2 linked regions of the Ovis aries genome follow. The protein of the gene in region 1 purifies or fractionates together with the protein of each later gene. This does not show direct contact. Links are inferred from orthologs where the notes say so. Each region holds a gene or a part of one and is shown on either strand. Other genes may lie near its edges.

What was found. The genes of interacting proteins can lie anywhere in the genome.
Region 2: the proteins of GBA2 (region 1) and ILVBL purify together in Homo sapiens (co-immunoprecipitation; 3 studies listed by BioGRID and IntAct, counting the BioPlex papers as one, with this or other methods). This does not show direct contact. The link is inferred for Ovis aries from reciprocal best matches to the Homo sapiens genes GBA2 and HACL2.

The regions. Positions count from the first base shown.
Region 1 is NC_056055.1:52,793,737-52,799,541, forward strand, and holds the start of GBA2 (non-lysosomal glucosylceramidase), read left to right. Parts: upstream 1-2,245; 5' UTR 2,246-2,768; coding exon 2,769-3,097; intron 3,098-5,805. Other genes in the region: RGP1 (RAB6A-GEF complex partner protein 2), read right to left, coding at 47-193, 456-605, 707-790, 1,070-1,206, 1,576-1,691. UniProt on the Homo sapiens protein: Non-lysosomal glucosylceramidase that catalyzes the hydrolysis of glucosylceramides/GlcCers (such as beta-D-glucosyl-(1<->1')-N-acylsphing-4-enine) to free glucose and ceramides (such as N-acylsphing-4-enine).
Region 2 is NC_056058.1:7,845,046-7,850,728, reverse strand, and holds the start of ILVBL (2-hydroxyacyl-CoA lyase 2), read right to left. Parts: upstream 3,384-5,683; 5' UTR 3,316-3,383; intron 2,828-3,315; 5' UTR 2,818-2,827; coding exon 2,683-2,817; intron 900-2,682; coding exon 698-899; intron 567-697; coding exon 439-566; intron 340-438; coding exon 201-339; intron 113-200; coding exon 1-112. UniProt on the Homo sapiens protein: Endoplasmic reticulum 2-OH acyl-CoA lyase involved in the cleavage (C1 removal) reaction in the fatty acid alpha-oxydation in a thiamine pyrophosphate (TPP)-dependent manner. Involved in the phytosphingosine degradation pathway.

The sequences.
Region 1 (5,805 bases):
TCCTACAGGGGAGGAAGGGGTGGGGCAAATCTGGAAGGACCCTCACGGAGGCTTCGGCAGGATGTGGCAGCCATGAGGCGCTCCCCAGCCAGCTCGGTGAGCCACGAATCCTTCTTCCCACCTTCATCCTCCTCTAGGAATGGGCTGGATGGGGCTACAGCCTCATCCTGGGGAAACCGGACATCTTGAAGGCCTAGAGAGAGTGTAGAGAGGTGGTGGGAGAGAAGAGCGGTGGTTAGGGTTTTAGATGCCAACCGTCAGGGTTGAAGGTACAGGGCGCCACAACTGAGGGGTAGGCATCTCACCTGTGCTCCAGGACATTCTCTCCCCAACTCCCTCACACCATGACTAAGATCAGGAAGCTTCCCTCCAGCCCCTTTCACAAACTCTCTAAAGAGCATTACTGCTTTGGTGAGGCTCTTCCCCAGCCCCTCCCTCCAGGAACCCTTGCTTACCAGTGAGCACAAGAACCCTCAGAGGGACCCTCAGTAAAGTGATGGGTGAGTTGACACGCTGGCAGCCAATGGTCAGTTTGTAGACATACTTGACTGACTGACCCCGAAATGAGGGTGGTCCCTCTACAGGCAGCACTTCGCTGTAGGAGTCTGGTTGGGAAGCAGTAGTCAGGGCAGCCAGAAGTAGCCGGAGAGGTCCTCCCTCCAGGAGCCGCAGAAGGCAATCCAGGGGCCCAGGGGCAGTCACTCACATGATTTGGACTCTCCAGGGTCTAGCCTCAGGTCACAGAAGAGGATTTTTGGTGGAGTGGAAAGGATACACTGACCCCTCTCACCTAAAAAATAGAAGACTGCAACTTAATAACCTCATTGTCTAGCGCTGGAGAAGGCTAGCGAGCAAGTGGGGACAGTAAGCACTGCCAACACGGGGCAAGCCATTCCTCTTTCCTCAAGGTGAGACAGGAACAGCTTTACGCCCCCTAGAGCAATAATTACACTCCACCACAACCCCAATAGGACAGAGACTGTAATGACCCACCAGAACAATTTGACAACTTCACCCTTGGGTAACAATGATTCCATCCCCCTCTGAAGGCAAAAGCCCCATCTCTAACCTCGGTGTGGAAGAAAGACAGTCTGGCTCTCAGGCTGGACCTCCGGCTGACTGGAGTCGGGGGGAGGAAGTGCCACTCGACTCTCACTGGCGTGGAACTGGCAGTGGATTTGGGCACTGGCCCAGGCCAGAGCCTCACTATGGGAGGAGGAAAAGAGGGCATCAGAGGAGCTCCTGACCTCACAAATGCTCTCCCAAACTCCCTACCACACTGAGAAGACCAACACAGAGAGGTGGCTGTCGTCCGGGATCAGAGAATCCAGAACCCCAAAGAGAAACCATTATACACAGAGAAGTATACCATAGGTAGCAGGGGGAGGAGAGAAGAAAGGCGAGCTGAGGGCTATGTCACCCACATCTTCTGTTAACTAGCCCTTCCCTACAATGAGAGCACAATGAACAAGGTGATGGTGATGTAGCCACAGGACAGCCTGAGCTCTGGCTCAGCTCTACAGATAGCAGGCTTCCTCCCAGAAGGCCTGTCTTCTTCAGTACCAGTGTCCCCACCTGGATGCAGAAGTGGCCGTGGGGGGCAGGGGATTGGTGACTGTAACCACACACTCCAGGGCCTCCCCTGCCAGAAAGACAGGACCTCTGCTCAGCTCTGCTACCACTTCAATCATGGCAGCTCCGGGATCGGATCTAGAAGGAAACAAGGGGTATCAGAGGTCAGTACCACGGCAGGGAAGGGTGTCTCGGGCGAGCCTGGGGGTGAGGACCGAGGAAACGGGCGTTCAGTACCACGGTGTCAGAGGGAAGCGCCCAGGTTTGGAGTGCGGGAAGGCGGAAGGCAGGTACGGCGGCAGCTGACCGGGCACTGCAGAGGGAGACGGAGCCGCTTAGGGTCCCAGCCCCCCGCCCCTATCGGCTCCAGGTCATCCCCTCTCTTCCCCGCCGGGACCCCTAGGCCACCCCCGACCCCTTCCCTGGAGGTTCCACCTCCCAGCCCGGGGCCCCGGCCGCCCGGCACCTCGCAACCAAGCCCGGATACCCCTCAGATCGAAACAGGGGACCAGACTGAAACAGGGTACTCGGTGCCTCGAAGGCCTCGGCCGCCCGCCCCTCCGGGCCCGGGCCAAGTGCGTGGCTGCGGCCGCGGCAGAGGCGGGACTTCCCTCCGAGTCCCTTCCGGCCGGAAGCGCCGGGCCGGCTAGGCCGGAAGGGGCTGGGGTGGGCCGGCCGCCCTGGGTCACCTTCCCACGGGCTGGTACCCGGGCGCGGGCGCCGCCCCGGACACCGGCCGGCGGGACCCGGCGCCCACCGCGGGGGGGCCTGGTGCCGCGCCCCGGGGACGGGGCCTGGGCTGCGGCGAACTCCTAGGCCGGTCCCGGGGGCGGTGCCTGGAGGGCCGGCCCCGGGGGCTCCTCCCCTCTCCGCGGGCCCAGTCGCCCTTTGGCCGGGCCAGCTAATCACCGCGGCCCAATGACGTCGAGACCCGATCCTTCCCGCCCAGGTCCCAGAGAGACAACCGAGGGTGAGACCGTGGCGGCTTTATTGCTGTCGCCGCCGCCGCAGCAGCAACAGCTACCTGGTTGCACAGAGACACCGGCTCGCCTCAGCTTTCCCCAGTGGCCCGCTTTCCGAGACAACACCTAAAAACCATCCACGTCCACATCTGGGCTTGGCTGGCCAGATACTTGGTACCAGAAAGCTCGGGAACTGAAACCACCGAGGTCCTGGAGACCCAGGATCCAGGGAATATGGGAACCGGAGTCCCAGCCTCGGAGCAGACCAGCTGTGCCAAAGGCGATCCACAGGCTTCTTGCCCTGAAAATGGCACGGAGGCTGTGCAGGTTACAGACTGTCCAATCCCTGAGGACAGTCAACCCCAGCATGAACAGGGTTACAGCAGTGCGGAGGACTCTGGGCAGCTGATGGCTTCCTACGAGGGGAAAGCTAAGGGCTACCAGGTGCCTCCCTTTGGCTGGCGCATCTGCCTGGCTCACGAGTTTGCAGAGAAGAGGAAACCCTTTAATGCCAATGACATCTCGCTGAGCAACCTGATAAAGCACTTGGGCATGGGCTTGAGGTGAGTCGATCCCATTGCCTAGAGGACCTTGTGCCTCACTTTGTTCCAGCAGAGGCAGGAAAGGGTAAGAAAGCAGGAGGGTGCCTTGTCCTGGTCAGGTGGCCCCTATCTATACCCAACATCATCTAAGCCCATAGTTTTGGAGGGTGAGACTAAGTCAGGTCTCTTTGCAACCCACTTCCTTCCAGTAACTTGTCTGTTTAGCAAGAAAGGGCATTTGAGCCTTGTAGTAAGCCTTACACATCTAGGCTCCCTCTCAGGTGCTCTCTCTTCTCTGAAGACTGCCCTTTGGGATTAGTTATACTTTGTGACAAGGTAGAAAAGATACTCTGGCTGTTTCGGTATTGATACAATGTTGTCTTCTTGGAGGGGAGGGTTCTCAACTCCAGATCCCCCTAAGCAACTGGAGTATTCACTGAACCTCACTCACTTAGGCACAGCATTTTATAGTCCCAACACCCTTTGGCTTCTTTCCTCAAACTCTGGCTCCAGGGAGTGGTTGAGAACTTGCCTGCTCTCAACCCTAAGGAGAGGGCGATGAAAGGTAATATTCACTCTATTCTGGAATAGATGGCCCCTGATATAAAAAGCAAAGAAGACCTTTGACCAGAATGGCCCTGCCTTAGGTGTTCCTAGAGATTAGTTATAATCTTCCAGAGCATTTCCTGGTCCCCTGCCCCAGCAAAGGGTTGCAGACAGGCTGAGAGCTTATCCTGGGCTATAGGACTCCTCCGGATCCTCACTGAGTGTTGGGACCAAGACCCAGTAACAGAGACAGGTGCCTGTGAGGACAGAAAGCATCACCCTGAGGTCATCCTGAGTCAGTTGCCACAGTAAACACAGAACTGTGGAGGGAGGCTTCAAGTATGGGAAACCTAGCTTTGACAGCCTCTTAAGTAGAGGTTCCTTCTCTTCTGCGGTCAGTGCTGTGGGGTTGGGGTGGAGAGCCCGTGGACCTAACCCAAGCCCTCGGCAGTGGGGAGGGCCTGTTGCTGCCTGGGTGTCTGACTCCTTTGACAGTTCCTCTGGGTGGCCTGTACTAGAGCACAGTAATTCCTCCAGGCTGCTTCTGAAACTGACTTGGCTAGTTTAGACCCTAAAAGGCTTTGGGTCAAAACAGGATCTGGGGCCAGGGTACTGAGAGAAGCACCTTGGGGTGCATGTGGTGGGAACACTGAGGTCAAGAACCTGCCCATGGGCATCTTAGCCCCTCCATCCCTAAGTATAAGCTGAATCACAGATGCCTGAAGCTGTCCTCACCCCCTGGACTCAGATCCCCATCCTAGGACAGGGTGGGGATCACTGACACAGGGGTTTTGAGATGAGATGAGGTCCTGCACTGAGGAGAATGCAGGGGTGAGACAAGAATTCTGAATGATTAAGTTGAGGTTGAAATCATGGAAAAGGACAAATAGATCAGGAATAGCCAGCTGTTCAATGGTGTGAGAGAAACATAGGCCCTAAGAGGGAGCTGAATTGGGGGTACACTGATCAGGAGCCCCAGTAAGACAGAGTTCTCTTGGCCTCAGAATGGTAAGAACTCAATTTTGGTTGCTATCCCTTTCAGCCCGAATCCATTCATTCAGTAAATATGTACTGAGTGCTTGTTCTGTGCTAGACACACCTTTGTTCTGCTATCTTCACATCTTGCATTTCTCCCTCACCACCCTAATCGGAGCTGTGCCCTCCCTCCATTTGGCAATCCTTTCTGGCCACCAGTTTCAAAGTCCAGTTTCCTCTAAACTGGCAAAGAAGAGCTGCCTTCCCACTGTTCGTCTTCCCTCCGTCTCCCCTCACTCCCAGAATGTACCCTCCTGTTCTTTAATCATATTTCTCCTTCACTTGCTCCTGTCCTTGTTTATTTCTCTTATGTTCCACTGTTTGTACATATGTTCTTTGTAAACCCAGCAAATATTTGTTGACTGCAGACCAGGTGCCCTGTGCTTGAAGCTGTGGGTAATAAGCAATAAGTCTTTGTCGCTGTCCCTTTCCCCAGGGAACTGAAAAGTATGTCAGACTCACGTGAGAAACAGTAAAGTAACAGGACAGTGTCTGATTGGGAGCTGAGATAGTGTACATACAAGTAATGATGATATGTGACATGGATATTCCACTTTGTAGCTTTCCTATCTATTGTGTCATTTGTGACCTTAGAAGGGCACAAATGTGCCAATAGAAGGTTATCTATTGTGCCCTTCCAACCATCCCTTGAGGTAGGAAGGGCAAGAGTATCCCCATAGATTCAGCAGGGTTACTTACCCCATTACATAGCTATAAGCAGTGTGCTTGAACAATGGGGATAAATGAACGAACTGCCGAGGGAGGAGAGTGGAATTGGGAGAGAGTCCAGCAGGAAGGGGTTGCTTAGTGAGGACCCACTCTGAATGGAAACTGTAGAAGTATTAGGCTGGGGCTTTCCTGGTGGCTCAGATGGTAAAGGATCTGCCTGCAATGCCTGGGTAGGAAGATACCTTGGAGAAGGAAATGGCAACCCACTCCACTATTCTTGCCTGGAGAATCCCATCGACAGAGTGCCTGAAGAGCTACAGTCCGTGGGGTCACAAAGAGTCAGACACAACTGAGCGACTAACACACACACACACAGACACACACACACACAGCTGAGACAGAGGTCAAATCCTTGAATCCCAAACAGACACACAGACACACACACACACAGAAATACACAGACATACACACACACACAC
Region 2 (5,683 bases), on another chromosome or scaffold:
CAGTGGACCGCTCGACTCATGAGGCCCTTGGGCGGCTTAGCTGGCACCATCTCCTTCTGAACCATGAAGTAGGGGTACAGCACGTCCAGAGGCAGTTCCACAAACACCGGGCCTGCATGGAGACAAGGAGAACGCTCAGTCTGCCGTGCCTCCCAGGTCCCAGGGCGGGACCTCTGCCCAGCCCCCGCCCCACTACCTACCGGGGGTACCCGACTGTGCAGCCGCCATCGCGGCCCTCAGGGTGGGGATGATATCCCGCACTCTTCGCACAGAAGCACAAAATTTGCAGAGCGGCCGGAACAGGGACATCTGATCAACTGCCTGGAGTGCACCCCGATTCTAGTAGAGACAGAAAAAATCCAGGAAGTCAATACATGAGCACTTCCAGGCTCCCTGGGGTCCCTGCCACCTGCCCCCCACCCCACCAGGACAGGGCACCTGCAGCAGGGTGCTGGCAGCCCCACCCAGGAGCAGGACTGGGGACTGAGCTATCTGGGCGTTCTTCACCGCAGTCACTGTGTTGGTGAGGCCGGGGCCTGCCGTCACGGCTGCCACACCCACCGTCCCTGGAACACAAACCCTGTCTCAGCTGGGTCCACCCTCCCAGCCATGTTCCTCTCCCCGCAAAATAAAATCCCTGCCCCCTCAAACACATCCCAGTCTCACCAGCCCCCAGCCCTCCCCATTCTGCCCTCACCGGTCAGGCGGGCTACAGCATCAGCGGCAAAGACAGCTGTGACTTCGTGGCGGGTGTCCACCACACGGATGCCCAACTTCTCACAGGCCACCAGCAGTGGCGAAATGTGCCCGCCGACCAGCGTGAAAAGGAAGCGCACACCGTGGGCCTTCAGCACGGCTGCCACGTTCTCCCCACCATGCCGGATGCTTGCCGTGTCCACCTGGGCCGGGAGAGGGGAGGAGTGAGATTGTCAAGGACCAAGGTGCAGACACCAGGGCAGGTGGGCAGAGGAATTACACCCCTCCCCCAGGAAGGAGGGGAGGGGCAAGGCGGGAAGGCAGGGGAAGCTTGGTGTTGCTTTGCTCTTGTTTAGTCGCTAGGTCGTGTCTGACTCTTTTGCGACCTGCATGGATTGTAGCCCACCAGGTTCCTCTCTCCATGGAATTTCCCAGGCAGTAAACACTGGAATGGGTTACCTTCCTTCTCCAGGGTATTGTCCCAACCCAGGCATTGAACCCACGTCTCCCTCATTGGCAGGCAGATTCTTTACCACTGAGCCACACCAGGCATCTTATCAGAGCCTCCCGACAATATATCCTTTTACAGCTACAAAGACCATGACTCCTGAGCAAGACTCAAAGTCCCATAGAATCAGTGCTCTCAAGGCACCTGTGGCGCAAACAGGAAGAGAGATTAGAAAAGGTGGATCCACAGAGCCCAAGGGAGCTTGGCCAGAAGCCACCAGCTGGGACTCCAGAACGGCCTGCCCTCCAGTATCGGGTCCCCACAACAGGAGACTGCTAACTCATCTCCCAGGCCCCCTCCCACCCACTGGACCAGGCCCCATTCACAGGCTGCCAACAACCAAGTTGCCTAGCACAGGAGCAGCCTGTGGCAAAGACAATGCTGGGGCTTCCCAGCCCCAGCTTCCACACAGCCCCGTACACCAGAGGCCTTTGTCACTGTTATGGTTGTTCAGTCACTCAGTCATGTCCGGCTCTTTTGCAGCCCCACAGACTGCAGCCTGCCAGGCTCCTCTGTCCACGGGACCTCCCAGGCAAGAATACTGGAGTGGGTGGCCATTTCCTTCTCCAGGGGATCTTCCCAACCTAAGGGTCAAATCCACGTCTCCCGCACTGGCAAGCAGGTTCCTTACCACTGCACCACCTGGGAAGCCCGGCCTTTGTCTTAAATCTTTACAGGTCCACAAGGCTAGTGGCACTGCTCCAGGTTAGGAGGGAGACTTCCCTGGTGGGCTGGTGGTTAAGACTTTGCCTTCCAATGCAGAGGGTGTGGGTTCGATCCCTGGGCAGAGAGCCAAGATCCCACATTCCTGGCAGCCAAAATCCAAAACATAAAACAGGAGCAACACTGTAACAAATTCAGTAAAGACTTAAAAAAAAAAAAAGACAGGGAAAGGGTCTGGGAAAGGGTGAATTTCTGCGAGGAGCCAAGTAGTTCAGAGCCAGGTCTGTGGAGTCACTTCTTCCCTAAACAGGTCACCTTAGGCAAGTCATCACACACCCTCTCTGAGCCTCGGTTTCTGCTTGTGGAAAATGAAAACAAACTGATGGGTACTTGGGAAAATCGCTCTAAAGCGCTGAGCAGAACAGACAGCTACCCTCACAAATCTGTCACAGCCAGCCACATCCTCTGGGGCCTGCCCTCAGCACTCTGACTCCACCGTATTAGGGAGCACCGCTCTGTGAAAAGGACTGAGAACCTTTAAGGAAGGGGGTAGGGTGGGGTGTGGAGTGCCGGGCGGGGTGTGGAGTGCCGGGCAGCTGTAGTTTCCCTGTGGCCCCTTCCTAGAGGCAAAGTCCAGGGTCCCGGAAGCAGTTCCACAGTAGCAACCGATCCTAGAATTTCCCGACCAGTGAGTCGCTCTGCATTAATCGGAACCTCACTCTCCCCGCCTGTGAAATGGGTTAGCTGGAAACGGTGCTAACTGAAGTCCACTCCTTTGACTGCCCCCGGCCCGCCACCCCTGTATGCCCCCGAACCTTGTGCATCAACTGATAGAAGAGCCCCAGGCGGTGAGCGGCGCCCAGCAAGGCGGCCACTAGCGTCCCGAAGGCCAGGAGCAGGAAAGAGGAGAAGAAGCCCCAAGCTGGGGCGGCAGTCGCCGCGGTCTCCATGAGCTGACACCTAAGGAAGAAAGGGCAGTGCTTGGACTTGGAGGCGACAATTAAATTACTCAGAAGGCACACCCTCTCTCCTGGCCCAGATCCCGGCCACGCCCCTTGTCTCGCGCACCTAAGCGATCACGCCCCTTACACCTCCAGGCTCCTAACCAGGCCACGCCCCTTGCAACGCTAGCCCAACCCCCCTCCCCATACATTACCACGACCAGCTAAATTCGGCCACCACAAGTCGACGCGGCGACAGCGCCTCCAATTATTTCCCACTTACCTGCTTCTCAATGGGTCGGCGGGAAACCCCGCCTCTCTTTGATATCAAGGACACGAATCTTCGCCCTAGTGGTGAGCCCACCCCATGACTACACCTCCAAGTCTGCGTGCATGACCCTCTCCTGAAGCCGGACCCCTCCCCTCCACCGAGCGCCTGGACTCCAATCTGACTCCCGAATCCAGGCCGTGAGTCAAGGTCAGGTCGTATCAGGATGCTCCTCCTACCCCCGTGGAACTTTAACCTTCACCCATAGGAAATGGCGCTGGCTCCAGAGGAATTCGGCGCCCTGCGTGTCACGTGACCAGGCGCACGCCTTGAAAGGGTTGGGCCAAGCACCTGTGTCCTTGCCCCTTTTGGCCGCTTGGATCCAGGGCGCCCCTCCGCGCATGCGCGAAGTCCTAGCCACTCACCGGGACACAGGCCCCTCCTCTAAGAGCTCCGTCTCTACTGGCCGCCTCTTGCACAGGCTCCGCCCTCCCTCGCTTTTCATTGGTTTGTGCTGCAAGCCTCACAGACGCACACCCTTTTTTTTTTTTTTTTTTTTTTTTTTCAAAACAAGAAGCCACGCTCCTCTACGACTTTCAGCGGCCTGGAGTCTCGCGGATCCGCCCTCCTCCGGTCTCCCCTTGGCCCCAAGTTGCTGGCCTGCAGATTCCAGGCATTCCGAGCCCAAACTGCTTTCCACAGAAGGCATGCTGGACGCCCCTTCACGTTGGCCCAGCGGACGATCACAGACCCCTCGCCCAGTGTCGCCATCCGTGATCTCACCCCAAACAAGCCCTGCCCCTCTGGCTCCAGACTCGGCCTCCCACCCCACCGCAATTCTGCAAAGGCAGAGGCCTGCCCTCTCTCCCCTAAGCCCGCCTCCACTGTTTCCCTTACCCTCGTAGGCCCTGCCCACTTCCTGCAGGCTTGGGGTTTTCTGCTTCCGGTGATGGAGAGGGAACACTGCGAGTGGTCCCCTTTCCAGCCCGCGATTCGCCACATTTCAGCCTTCTGGAAAAGGATCTCCCCATCAGTAAAGGGGCAGTAATTATGGTCCCCAACGCTCTGCTTCTCTCCAAGACAAACCCTGCCGTTTTTACACTGGCTCCCATCCCGAGTCCACTTCTGGGATTGCCCTCAGAATTCTACCCCATCGTTCATAGTCTGTAGAATCATTCTGTTGCAGAAACCAGTAGTCGAGAAACCAGGCACTACACTCGGAGAGTTGGAGAACTCAGGTTTATTACGCCAGCGGGCCCAGAGGAGTTAACACTCCAAACTCTGAGCCCTGAACAAAGGGGTTATGGAGTTTTTATACACAAACGGGCATGATTAAGCAGGTTTGCTGGGGTTGGGCGATTGCAAAGAGCAGGAAAAGGGTGAGATAAGCTCCAGATCCTATTATTGTGAGTCCCCACTTTCTGAGACCTATGTGATCCAGACTTTGCAAGGAGCAAGCTGAGTTAAACAAAGAGGGAAGGAGCAGGAGGGAATGTAAATTTTTAACTCTTCAATTCCACCCATTAAAACAAAACTTCCATCGGCCCCACATTCTCCACGTGTTACTGTCCATTTGCTTCTCTTTTCCACCTATCCTTGCTGTCTCCGTGAGCTCTTCTATTCCCTTTGTTTTATAAGAACATACATTGAATAATCCCCTGGAGAAGGAAATGACAACCCACTTGTATTCTTGCCTGGAGAATCCCATGAACAGAGAAATATTCTTGCCTGGAGAATCCCATGAACAGAGAAGCTTTGATTTTTAGTAATTATTGATAGGTATATTCTTTTTAAATTTTTATTTATTTATTTATTCTTGGCTGCACTGGGTCTTCCTTGCTGCACAGGGGTTTTCTCTAGCTATAGGTGAAAGGTTGTTGCTGAAGAATAAAAGACACCAGGATTCTTGGCCTCTGGAGGAGAAGAACTCAACCTGGGGCCAGAGACGAGGCTTGATAGCTCAGTGCTTCTGTATAATAAAGTTTTATTAAAGTATAAAAGATAGAGAACACAGGACTGGAAAAAAAAATAAATAAAACATAGAGAAAGCTTCCGACAGAGACATCAGAAGGGGGCAGAAAGAGTGCCCCCTGCTAGTCTTTAGCTGGATGTTATACAGCTACTAGCAGTCTGCTAATTAAAGATAGGAAATGTCTCAAAACTCAGAGAATGGCAAAAGGTGAGTCATCCCAGGCCATAAGCCGATAGACCTGAATCTTGAAGAAAGGCAGATTACCATACAATGTTTCATTAACATAGATTAGGAGAATAGTGTATGACAGAATATGGTCCACCTGAGAAGGGAATGGCAAACAACTTCAGTATTCTTGCCTTGAGAACCCCATGAACAGTATGAAAAGGCAAAATGATAGGATACTGAAACTCCCCAGGTCAGTAGGTGCCCAATATGCTACTGGAGATCAGCGGAGAAATAACTCCAGAAAGAATGAAGAGATGAAGCCAAAGCAAAAACAATACCCAGCTGTAGATGTGACTGGTGATAGAAGCAAGGTCCGATGCTGTAAAGAGCAATATTGCGTAGGAACCTGGAATGTCAGGTCCATGAATCAAGGCAAATTGGAAGTGGTCAAACAAGAGATGGCAAGA